3 linked regions of the Coturnix japonica genome follow. The protein of the gene in region 2 purifies or fractionates together with the protein of the main gene of each other region. This does not show direct contact. Links are inferred from orthologs where the notes say so. Each region holds a gene or a part of one and is shown on either strand. Other genes may lie near its edges.

Region 1 (3,650 bases), on a different chromosome or scaffold from region 2:
AAGAAAAGAAAAGAAAAAAGTTGAAGACAAAAGTAGTATTACCAATAAGTTTCACCTCACAGCCCTGGCCTCGAGTACTTGGAGAGGAAGAGAGGGGGGAAAAGAGGGGAACTTTGACCTGAAACCAAAAACGGCTGTTGATTCCTCGGGCTGTGTCGGAAAGGTGATGTTCTGAATGGTCTCATAGCATAAGGCACTTTGCACGAATAAGTAAGAAGCTCTTTAGCTTAAAAACAGATGAGTAACCAGGGAGAAGTTGAAATGCACTCAGTAGATGGTTGGAGAATTTGAAATCGCAGACAAGCTCGTGTTCAAAGATTCTTCTCTTTTCAGGGTTTCTCTTCTTCCCTTGCTGCCCCTCCCACCCAAAGAAAAAACAATTTAAAACCAGCAGTTAGTGCAACTAATGTTCAATCAGCACACAGTGCAAACGAGTGGAAAAACAAAAAGCCATTCCTCCTTTCATCTTCTTTCTTCCTTGCTGCCAAATTTGAAAAGAAAAAAGGCCGAGCTCTTTAGTCTTCATAGTTCCAAAATGAAAAGACGAAGAAAAACCCACAAAGAGAAGGGTATCCCCAGAGAAATGATGTGTCACAGATGTGGATCAAAGGGCTTCACCTTCTGGCATATGTAGTCAAAGCCTGAATATATAAATACACAAATAACACCTGCAATTAAGTCAGGTTCTGGTTTTGCACAGAGCTAAGAAATGAATCATGCTGACTGCAGGGCAGCTCCTGAGAAGCCGCCGGCATTGGATGCAGTTCGAGAACTGTCCCTCTGATGTGCCACTATGACCCAACTTCTCCCCCCAAGGAAGCCGCCCAAGGACCTTGCCCAGCTTCACAGTTTGATTTGCTTTATTTATTTTAAAACATGGAGAAAGCTCAGCCAGCAAAGCAGAGGCCACAAGTCACCTGGACATGACCAGCTGGCTGGGGCTAGCCTTGAGTTATTCCAAAGAGATACAGGTTTTGCTTTAATTCTCATTTTAATTAACAGACTGTTTCTTTGGCAATTTTTTTGTTAACTGAGAGTAATTGCAGCAGCTTCATTAGAATTCTTAATTCATGATCTCTAAGACAAGATGCACTACAAAACTCCTTTCAACCCAAATGGTCTGTAGCATCTCAGCTAGTAACAGATGAAATATTACCCTCTATTTGCTGTGAGAATAACAGCTTCCTTGGATTGTGAACTGACTCAGCCTTTTTTTTCCCCTCAGACAGCAATCAAAAAGTCACACTTCCAAAGTCCTTGCCAGAGAAGCCTCATTTTCTTTTAATGCTATGTAGACCTCAAGTGGCAATGAAGATGAATTACAGCTCTGCTACCTACTCAGCTTACTTGCAGAAGTTCTATGAATCAAAGAATGCAAAACAAATATGAGGCACCTATGGCTTGAACCTGCTCCTCTCAGCTGCTGAGATGAACAGGCTGTTCTGTTGGTGCTATGTTCTTAAGAGACCTATTTTTCACTCCTCACCTTCCTGATAATCACTTTCTGCCCCTACTGCTCAGCTAAGAAATACAGAAAGAACTCATTAGGCTGCTCACAGCCATCCTGTCACCAAGCAGGATTCTCCTCATCTCCTCTGACAGCCTATTTCAAACCTTTGTTTTCACATTCCAAGACTCTTCAGCACATCAGTTTCCCCTCTTCCCCCACAATGACATTCCAACACAACTACTCAAGTCAGCACATACGCACATGGTTACTGTTTCTCATCTTCTACAGGTTCACTGTGATATTCTGCCACGTAAAGGCTCTTGTCAATGTTGCTTGGTATGGGCTTTATTTCAGTTCCCAGCTGCTCCTCAATACTTTTCAGGTTGAATCGATCATCGTAGGTGATCAAGTTGATGGCCAGGCCAAGATGTCCAAAGCGACCTCAAAAAAGAAATTTAAACTGAGTAACAGGAGGTTAAATGAAAAGCCTGCAGATTCTGCAGGTGTTATTAACATCGCTTTCTCATTATAAAAGTCAACCTGGACCCCTGCAAGCTTCACATCAACATCTGATAAGGACTTTCTACTACCAAGTAAAAGTCTTCCACTACTGCAGTGTGGAACTTGAGGTAAACAGAGTTCCACTCTTCACTGTCATCATCAGGGATATATCTGGAAGCTGTCCAGACATCAGAAACAAACTTTGGAGCACAAGCAGAACAACAAACAAAACACACTATGCTTTAAAAAACACAGAAATTAAGTTTTCAATATAGAATCTTCCTAAACTGCAAACAATAAGCATTGGCGAGTTCCATGAAATTAAAGCAAAAGGTGCTTTTTTCCCTCATTTTCTTTTTATTTTTGGCCTAGGCTCTTCAAGCTCATTTAAAGAGCACGGCCATTAACTCAGGTATTTGTGAAGAAAATCCTATGCCATCATCCCTGTAAGTAAACATCAGAAAAAAAGCTATTCCAAATAATTATCAGTACAGTGATAGAAAGCAGAACCCAATCAAAGCATAAGGAATATTACAATTATCAGCAAAGCTGTCCCTAAAACATGTTTTTCCTCTCACCTGATCTGCCAATACGATGGAGATAAGTCTCTGCCAGCTTTGGAAAATCAAAGTTTATCACCACATTCACAGCTTGGATATCAATACCTCGGGTAAACAGATCTGAAAGACAACACAAGTCATGAAGAACATTAACTTCCATGAAATCTAATGCTGGGCTGGGAAATTTAGCCTTTGTGAATGTTGGTTAGCACTAGTTTCTAAAGACAAGCCCTTTCTGTGTATCAAAACATTTGACATAAATTCTGTTACAGCCTCTTCCTGCTCTTTATCCATGTTAAGCATAATAAAAACCGAATGATCAAGACATCAAATCTTCAGTTCTAGGTAAAAAAAATAATTCTCATGAAGCCAGTTTTTGCACTATTTTTGAGCCGGTCAGCTTTATATAAGCATCTTATCAAATAAGGCACACACTGTCATTTTACAACAGACTTGAAATGTGAGCTACGTCCCATCAACTGAACTATCTCTGTTTCATTTCAAGTGAGTTTTAGTAATGCAGCCAAGATACAACTCAGGCCATATACAGACCAATCAGAACTGCAAAGCATTTGGGAAGTGATGAAGAATCAGTAAATCATTATTCAATAATGCTAGCCACAGTTCTACCTACAGTTCTTCTACTATTTCATATCCAACAATTTATAGGACACTCAAATGTTAGAACATAAAGAAAACATAACTGAAGTACAAATTATCATCACAATGAAAGGATTTGTTAGCAAGCTGCACCACCACAGGTTGCCAAAAAGAGAAAGCCTGTATGCCTACAGATTTAGGCTGGATGTCAGGGAGAAGTTCTTTACTCTGAGAGTGGTATGTGGGCTGTGGCTGCCCCGACCCTGGAGGTGTTCAAGGCCAGGTTGGATGTGGCCCTGGGCAGCCTGGGCTGGTATTAAATGAGGAAGTTAGTGGCCCTGATTGTGGCGGGGGAGGGTAGTTGGAGATTCATGATCCTTGAGGTCCCTTCCAACCCGGGTCATTCTGCAATACAGGAGCACTGCAGCCCGCTACACACAGGTATGACAAAAATTCTCTTACTAAAACAGATTAGTTTTATCACTAAGCAGTTCATCAATTATACCTGGGCTAATGGCTACTCTACCACAACCTTCAGA
Region 2 (3,650 bases):
GCTGCAGAGGGCTTTGATGTCAGGAGCAGTGCAGCAAGATTCCTCTCAGGCCAATAAACTTTATAGCTGGATTAGTACATAACCTTGGAGGGGAAAGAAGCCTGTGCAATAACTTGCTCCGACAGGCACTTGGATATACATTTTCCTTGCTAGGGAGAATGCTGCCGCAAACAAAAGTCCCCACGCTGTGCTACGGTGGCAGCTCTTTGCTGTCACAAACCCAGCACAGACTGACAACTTCACCCAAATTGAACAGCTTAAAAATAACCAAGAGGGCTCAACCTCGCCTGGATTCTCGCTATCTGCGAGGTGCAGCCGCTAACTTTGGGGATTCCCAGGAAACAAAGCAAAGATTCAACATTTGATGCCAAAGAGCCTCATGGTGACAGCGCCGGGCGGCAGTTCTGCCAAGTGGAAATAGCAGAGCCTCAAAGAATCACATCAGCTTCTGCCCCGCAGCACATCAGCAACCAACTGAGCCCTCACCCCTTCCCACTGAGGGAAGGCTTGTCCCCCCCTCCCCGATGCAGAGGATGGGAACTGCTGAATTCACTGCGCTGCTGCTGCTTCTTCTGACCCAGTTCCCCATTCCGCCGCACGTCACTCCGCGCTGCCCCGCGCTCCTCGCTCTATTTTGCACGCCGCTCCCCTGCTTCTTCATGCGAGCAGGAACAAAGCAGGGCAGGCAGAAACACGGGGCGAGGCTGGAGGAAAACAGCTGCAGTTTCCCTCTCTCCTCTGCTTACATTGGTTTTGCTGCTGTGCAGCTGGAGCAGAGCTTGCCTGTCCTCTGTGGGCAGCCTTCTCTGTCAGGAGAGGACCAAACCACCTGTTTGCATCAAGTTCAGCCCCAAAAGGAGGATCTGAGCAACGCCACACTGGGACAAAGCTTCAGTTCTATCCTGGGGGGAAACAGAGCTCATAAACGACAGCATCGCTCCCACTGGTCCTTGTGGGCTCCCACCAGAAGCTCCCAGCCCTGCCTCCAGGCAGACGGCAGCTCCAGCAGCACGGAACTAACTCACATCCACCTCGCTACGCTGGGCACGGCAGCAGCGAGCAGCACGTGCAGGCAGTGAGGGCAGTGCCCTGAAGGGTCGCGTGCTCCGGGTGGGCAGATCGGATGGCCGTGGGAAAAGGGAAACGCAGAGCAGGAGTGTAGAGGAAGCAGCACAAAAAGCATCCAAGAGCAGAACCAGTGTGCACCAGCAGCTGTGCCAGCGGGTCTGCAGTGCCCCTATGGGAGGCAGCCTCCCCATTGCTGATGTGCAAGCCAAGATGAGGATCCACACGAGCTGACCACAGGTACCAGGCAGGCTGCACTGCTGCAGCAGCCCACACTCCCATGGAGCTCAGGGCAGGTGCTCTCTTTGCTCACCCCGTCCCTGCCCCACACATCCATAACCCTGCAGGAAGGGCAGATCTGGAGATCAAACCACTGAGACTTTGCTCGAAACCAAACAGATCGATCTGGAGAGGGAGGAGTTCGCCCTTCTCTTGAAATCCAAAGCAAACAAAGTGAGGACAGATACCCACAGCCCAGAGCAGGGCTATGTAAGCAAGCACTGCAAGCACAGGCACTTCAGGGGACCTCAGGAAAGCAGTCCCACATGAATGGGAAACAGTGTGAGAATGAAGTGCCTGCAAGCTCTGCACCCAGGGCTGTGGCCACAGAGACATCGTGAGGATCTCCCTTAAGCACAGGGCAGGGGAAGCTGCTGATCCTCCCAGAAATCAAACTCAGTCCTCAGCAAACACCAAAATGCAGGTCTACCATCATTGCAGGTGAACTCAAACCTTCATCGCTCCATGCTCTGTAAGCCAGCAGCTCCTGGACACCAAGAAGGAGAAAGATGAGCACAGACTGCCCTGTGCTAATGACACAACGCTGCCAGGAACACCCAGAGCAGAGGAAAAGGAAAGAGCAGAGAGCAGTGTTTTAAGGGGTGATTTAGGTGTCCACTCCTGCCAGTGCATGTAATTAACCTCTGTGCTCAGAAGGAATAAGCAGAGCCAGGCTTTGAAGTTAACACCTCCTTAAGAGGACATGGGAAGGGAGTGTTCTTTATTTTCCTGTTGTGACTATTGTTTCACTGGGGTCTTTCATGCAGTGAGAGAGAAGGGGAGAAAGAGGGCTGCAGAGTAATGAGAGACAAACCAGAGCGTTGATACAGCAGTGAACTTCATAAGAGAACTGGAGCAGGGAACCTGGGCTCCCTAACACCAGCAGCTCTGAGACCCCCGGCCTATGGGACTGAGACCAGAGGGGAAGCAGAAAGGAAAACCAGCCTGCAGGTTTTGCTCTGCCCTGTTTGCTGTATCCAAGCTGTACTTCAGACACCGCAGTCTGAAAGGACTACAAAAGGGCTCCATGAAAGCAATAACATCATCTGAAAGATGCGCCCTACAAAGAGAGGGAGGAAATCCAACCTGCAGAGCTGAGAGGTGGAGATTTGCCGCGCTGTTGCCACAATAATTGTAGAAGGATGGGGAAAAGGTGGGCTACAAAAAGTAAAGGAGTTAAAGCAAGAAATAAATCACACCATGAGAAGGGAGAGACACACAGGAGGAATTTTCCTCCCTTTAAAGCCACGATCTCAGGGTACCATCCACCCCAAGGTGAAGCTGCAGCACTGGGGTGGCAGAGGTGTGAGCACACAGCCCCCCTGCAGCCAGGGGAGCTGCAGCATTGCAGAGCCCACACATCCAGCTCCTCCTGCTGCTCAGGGAGACCTGGTTGGCCCATAGGGACTAAAAGAGCAGCCCAGCAGCTGACCACCAGCCCAACCGACTCTGCCCATCACAAGAGAAACGAGCAGCTCCCGGCAGAAACAAAACAGCTTTTCAAGTCACTTTCCCAAGCCGTGGCTGCCATTCGGTACAGGCAACCAAAAGCTCCTTTCCAAAACAATCAGCTGCAAGAGAGACATCATGTTATTACACTGCACTGATAGAGGGGGAAAAGCACAAGGAGAGAACAGAGCATGCCCTTAGGTAGCGAGCGAAGCCATTACCTTTAGTGTGATATTTAACAGCAGCACTCAGGTCAAAAGAACCCCAGCTATCTTTCCTTTCTAGGCCTCTCTGGTACCCCTGTTCTTTGGCGGAGCTTAACAAATTGTTCGTGGGAGAGGCCAGAGGGTTCTCTACTTCATAGTCTTTTGAAAGAAACACTAAAGCACCTTGGCTGCCAGCCTCTGCCTTTTGCAGCTCGCCAGCGTGATGCGACTCCAGGGCTGCACCGCCGCCCTCCCCAGCAGTCCCAGGCTTTGGGGCAGCGCTGAGAGCTGGGGATGGGTTAGTCCGTTTGTCCAGCTCGTACGCCTTGGGGAACACGGGCTGCTCAGCTCCTGAGGGGACGATTTCAGCACACTGTGAAACCAACGCGGCGGGATATTCCCCCTGAAACGTCACTTCCATTGACTGGCTATCGGCAGATTTCCCCACCGCGGTGTCGGGGCCGGCGCTGGGCTCGTTGATGAAGGACAAACCCCATTGGTTCTGGAAGATATCTCCCAGGTTCTGCTGATTCGTCTGCGACGGGAAATCGACTTGAGCCGTACCCAGCAGCACGGTTTGCATATTGGAAGGGTAGATAAAAAGGTTGGATTTCTTCTGCTCCACAGCCGCTGGGGCTGCGCCGACGTCCG
Region 3 (3,650 bases), on a different chromosome or scaffold from region 2:
AAACCACTGCCTTTTCCTGTCATTTGGTATGAATTCACCACAGTGAAATATCAGAATGGACAAGTCTGTTTCATTACAGATAATACAGGGCCAAGCAGAGGTGTACAAGTCAGCACGAGTGCCAAAACCAGCAAGTGACTGTTTACACAAGATTCCTAACCTAATCAGCCCCACTGAAAAAGCACAGTTTCAATGAGTAAATTGCTACTGTAACAAAATATGTACATCATTTAAATAAAAATACTATTCACAGTGTATGCAAGTACCTAGTGTTCACACCATGACCTTCTCGCTCATTAGCATTTCTCTGAACAGCAGTATATTTTTCTTCTTCACTTCTTTCATCATTTTCCAAGGCAACCCGAGCTTTGTATTGGGCACTTGATTCAATTTCCTCTGCTAATTGAGTTGCTCTGGCTTCCCGTTTCAAAAACTCTTCTGAATTATCTCTTTCTAATGGCACCCTGAAAAACAATGGAAGAAAAAGAACATCTGAAATGAATTCAAAAGTACAAAGAACATACAAAATTATATAGAATTAATTCTAGACGGGTCAAATTAAAAATAAGAAAAAAAGAAAGAAAACACACACAAAAAAAATGCTTTTAAGACAGTTTATTTGCTATATTAGCAATATTCCTGCACTGGTTTGACATTATGTACCAGTGCCATTTACCTGCCTAGAGAACCGAGGTCAGGATGCACAGCTTTACCATATGACTGGCAGACTCCCCAGTCCCTAAAGCTATGCAAAGTCTTCAACTTTTAACAGGGTTGAGCACATTAGCAACAAAAAGGCCTTAGCCCATTATTTAGATAGGAAGGTAATTCAAGAGACCAAATTTGAATTTCTTTAGCAATTTACACATTCACAATAGATGTAAGAGTCCCCAGCACTACTGAAGTTAAGAGTTACAAACTTAATCCTCTGATAATTCCAGTCACGGAATTTCAGTTCTTCCAGTGATAGTAACTGCAGAAAAGATGAATGCAGTACTTTAGACCAGAAACCCAAGACTCAATTGCCATGTCCTGGAACCTCAAAACCATTCATTCTATGTATTATGATATTAGGTAATACCACACTGCAGCAAGCAAACGTAACCCTTTTGGGAAAGCCACTCGATACACGAGCAATGAATTACTAAAATAATGAACTACAGAAGGACAACACAACTGAGCTGACACTTCCTCCTGTCCATCTGTCATTGCTGTTTTTCACCTGTTCTAATTTTTGTGTCAGGTTTTATGAAATAACTTTCTTCATTGACTTTACTTTAGAATAAGCTATGTAGAGATGAGACTCTGACAATGCAATCTTTGGTATTAGATAATCAGTACTGCACACATTTGGGATAATACAAACAAATAACAAAGGATGTAGTTGGAAAGACAGCCCAAGAAAGAAATAATATATGCAAGATTACTCAAGTATTGGTGGCAGGGCTATGAAAGCAAATGGCTTTGCCAAATTGTACCATGTAGCTCTGCTACTACAGCAAAAGTCTCCCCTCCTCACACACAGTTTTGGCCAGCTGCTGCCATTATCAATGGTGACTGAGAGGATGAAAGAGAAAGCATGGCCTCCTGCACAAAGCTCTGGCTCACAAATAAGATACGTGTGAGCACAGCAGCCATCAACACAGCCAAGGAGTGCACTTGCTAGGACAAAGCTTGTGCCCTTATGCAAACTGACAAACTATACCTGCTAATGCTTAGCTCTGGGAAGATAAAATGAACAGTAAACCCTGTACAATCCCCCTCAAGTGCACAGGTAAGCATTTAGCTGGACCACTGCTCATCATATGCTTGGAAAATCAGAATAAAGTGTCCCAGCTAAAGCAACAAAATGCAAAGCAAGTTCCTTGACTAGCAAATAATGGAATTTGTCTTCAGCAATTTAAAGCCACCTTCATGTTCTTAATTTGTGTTCATTTATACCCATAAAACAGAAAGATCACAGACTAAAGTTCAGAAGTACAAAGAGTACTTTGGAATACTTCACTGCTCTAGGAATAGCTTCCCTAGGATGCAGACATAAGCCAATTAAGCTTTTGTTAAAATACATCTATAACGTGGCAATAGAAAGAAAATGTTGAACAAGGGATGTGCAGACAAAAAAAAAAGAAAAAAGAAAATTAAAATAATCACTGCAATTCCTGAACATTCACAACCAAGTTTTAAACTTTGTGGGTAAAATGAGTGGGAAAATAAAGACATTTCACGATGGCTGTTCAACATCTGCAACCAGTTTGTGTTGTAGCTGCACGAACACTATAGCTGCAGACTACTGGGAATGAGTCCAGGCTGCCAAAGTAAGCACAGCAGACTTCATACTTCTTCTTCTATACTCAAGTTGTTGTTATATTGTAACTAAAACTTCAGGTCTGCACAAGCCTGTTAAACAAGTTATCCACAGTACAAACCCCCTTGAAATATCAGCAGCGTTTCAATACTCCAATACCTACATTATGAATAATCACAATAAAATTAGGATTTAATCAGACTGTTCTGCTGGGTTAAACACAAACTACACATATGGCAGCTACATAAAGAGACATTATAGTTTCACAGTTTGTATTTTTCACTCTACTTGTAAAAGTTTTTCTAAGAATTAAGCATTATTGCACGCCTAAATTCAGAAAATGTTGCAATGGGAATGAACTGTGCCCATTTAAGGGAATATATACAGATTGCTACACAAACTATTCACAGAAATCTGGCAAGGTTTCTTAAGCACAATTCATCCATTATTATCTTTTTTTTTTTTTTTCAGTTATTTGATTCCACAACCTTAGAAAGTATATAAACTTATCTTGAGAATACGAATTTTGTCACACCAGGGACAACATTAAATACAAATCTAATAAGAAAATATTTTGGAACTTACGTATAAGAAGATAAACTGCTGTCATATGTTGATATTACACCATAATTTTCTTCATTGTAACGAAACATGTCGTTGGGATCCCATCCGTTAGACTAGAAGAAAATGATGCGTGTTTTTCAAGATGTCATTGGAAACACATTCCCTTAAAGCCAAGGGCTGGTAATAGGAGTCAAACCTTTTGCTCTTTTGCCTTGGCTTACAAACTCACTGTTTATATCAGAAAGCTAGCAGAGCCACAGTTTATTTCAGGGGTCTTTGTTCATCAGATGTATGTACTTTATCCTGAAAAGCCACGTTGGTTTCTTTTTTGTTGTGTGGTTGGTTGGTTTCTGTTTTTTAAAGCACCATGCCCATACTGGACTAGTTAATGGCTAACAAGCACTACACAATTCTGAACGTTAGGAGCGGCCCTTGCTATGACAAGCACTGATACTTCCCAAAAGCATTATTATCTGAGATACATGCTGCAGGCAGAAGACCCCTGGTGATCAGGGCAACTTCCCAACTTTATGAAGTATGTTATTACAGCACTCAAGGCTTTAGCCTTCACAAATGCTTTGAAAGTTTCATGAAAGCACTGACAGTATTAAGTACTCCAACAAATCTCAGCTGTACAGTACATACACCAAAACTGACAGGGGAACTGTTCCACCAAGACAAAGTTAAGATTCCCCACCATAACTTGACTCCATTCTTGCCTTTAACACACTGCAGCAAATACCTTGCTAAGAAGAATGCATGGTTGAGTGAAAGCTAACTG

What was found. Proteins that work in one complex are often made in the same cells at the same time.
Region 1: the proteins of NUFIP2 (region 2) and DDX6 purify together in Homo sapiens (affinity purification with mass spectrometry; 6 studies listed by BioGRID and IntAct, counting the BioPlex papers as one, with this or other methods). This does not show direct contact. The link is inferred for Coturnix japonica from reciprocal best matches to the Homo sapiens genes NUFIP2 and DDX6.
Region 3: the proteins of NUFIP2 (region 2) and ATXN2 purify together in Homo sapiens (affinity purification with mass spectrometry; 3 studies listed by BioGRID and IntAct, counting the BioPlex papers as one, with this or other methods). This does not show direct contact. The link is inferred for Coturnix japonica from reciprocal best matches to the Homo sapiens genes NUFIP2 and ATXN2.

Annotation. Positions count from the first base shown.
Region 1 is NC_029539.1:4,829,361-4,833,010, forward strand, and holds part of DDX6 (probable ATP-dependent RNA helicase DDX6), read right to left. Parts: intron 2,632-3,650; coding exon 2,530-2,631; intron 1,892-2,529; coding exon 1,716-1,891; 3' UTR 1,712-1,715; intron 642-1,711; 3' UTR 1-641.
Region 2 is NC_029534.1:4,757,429-4,761,078, forward strand, and holds part of NUFIP2 (nuclear fragile X mental retardation-interacting protein 2), read right to left. Parts: coding exon 3,015-3,650; intron 1-3,014. UniProt on the Homo sapiens protein: Binds RNA.
Region 3 is NC_029530.1:5,325,800-5,329,449, forward strand, and holds part of ATXN2 (ataxin-2), read right to left. Parts: intron 2,983-3,650; coding exon 2,891-2,982; intron 465-2,890; coding exon 267-464; intron 1-266. UniProt on the Homo sapiens protein: Involved in EGFR trafficking, acting as negative regulator of endocytic EGFR internalization at the plasma membrane.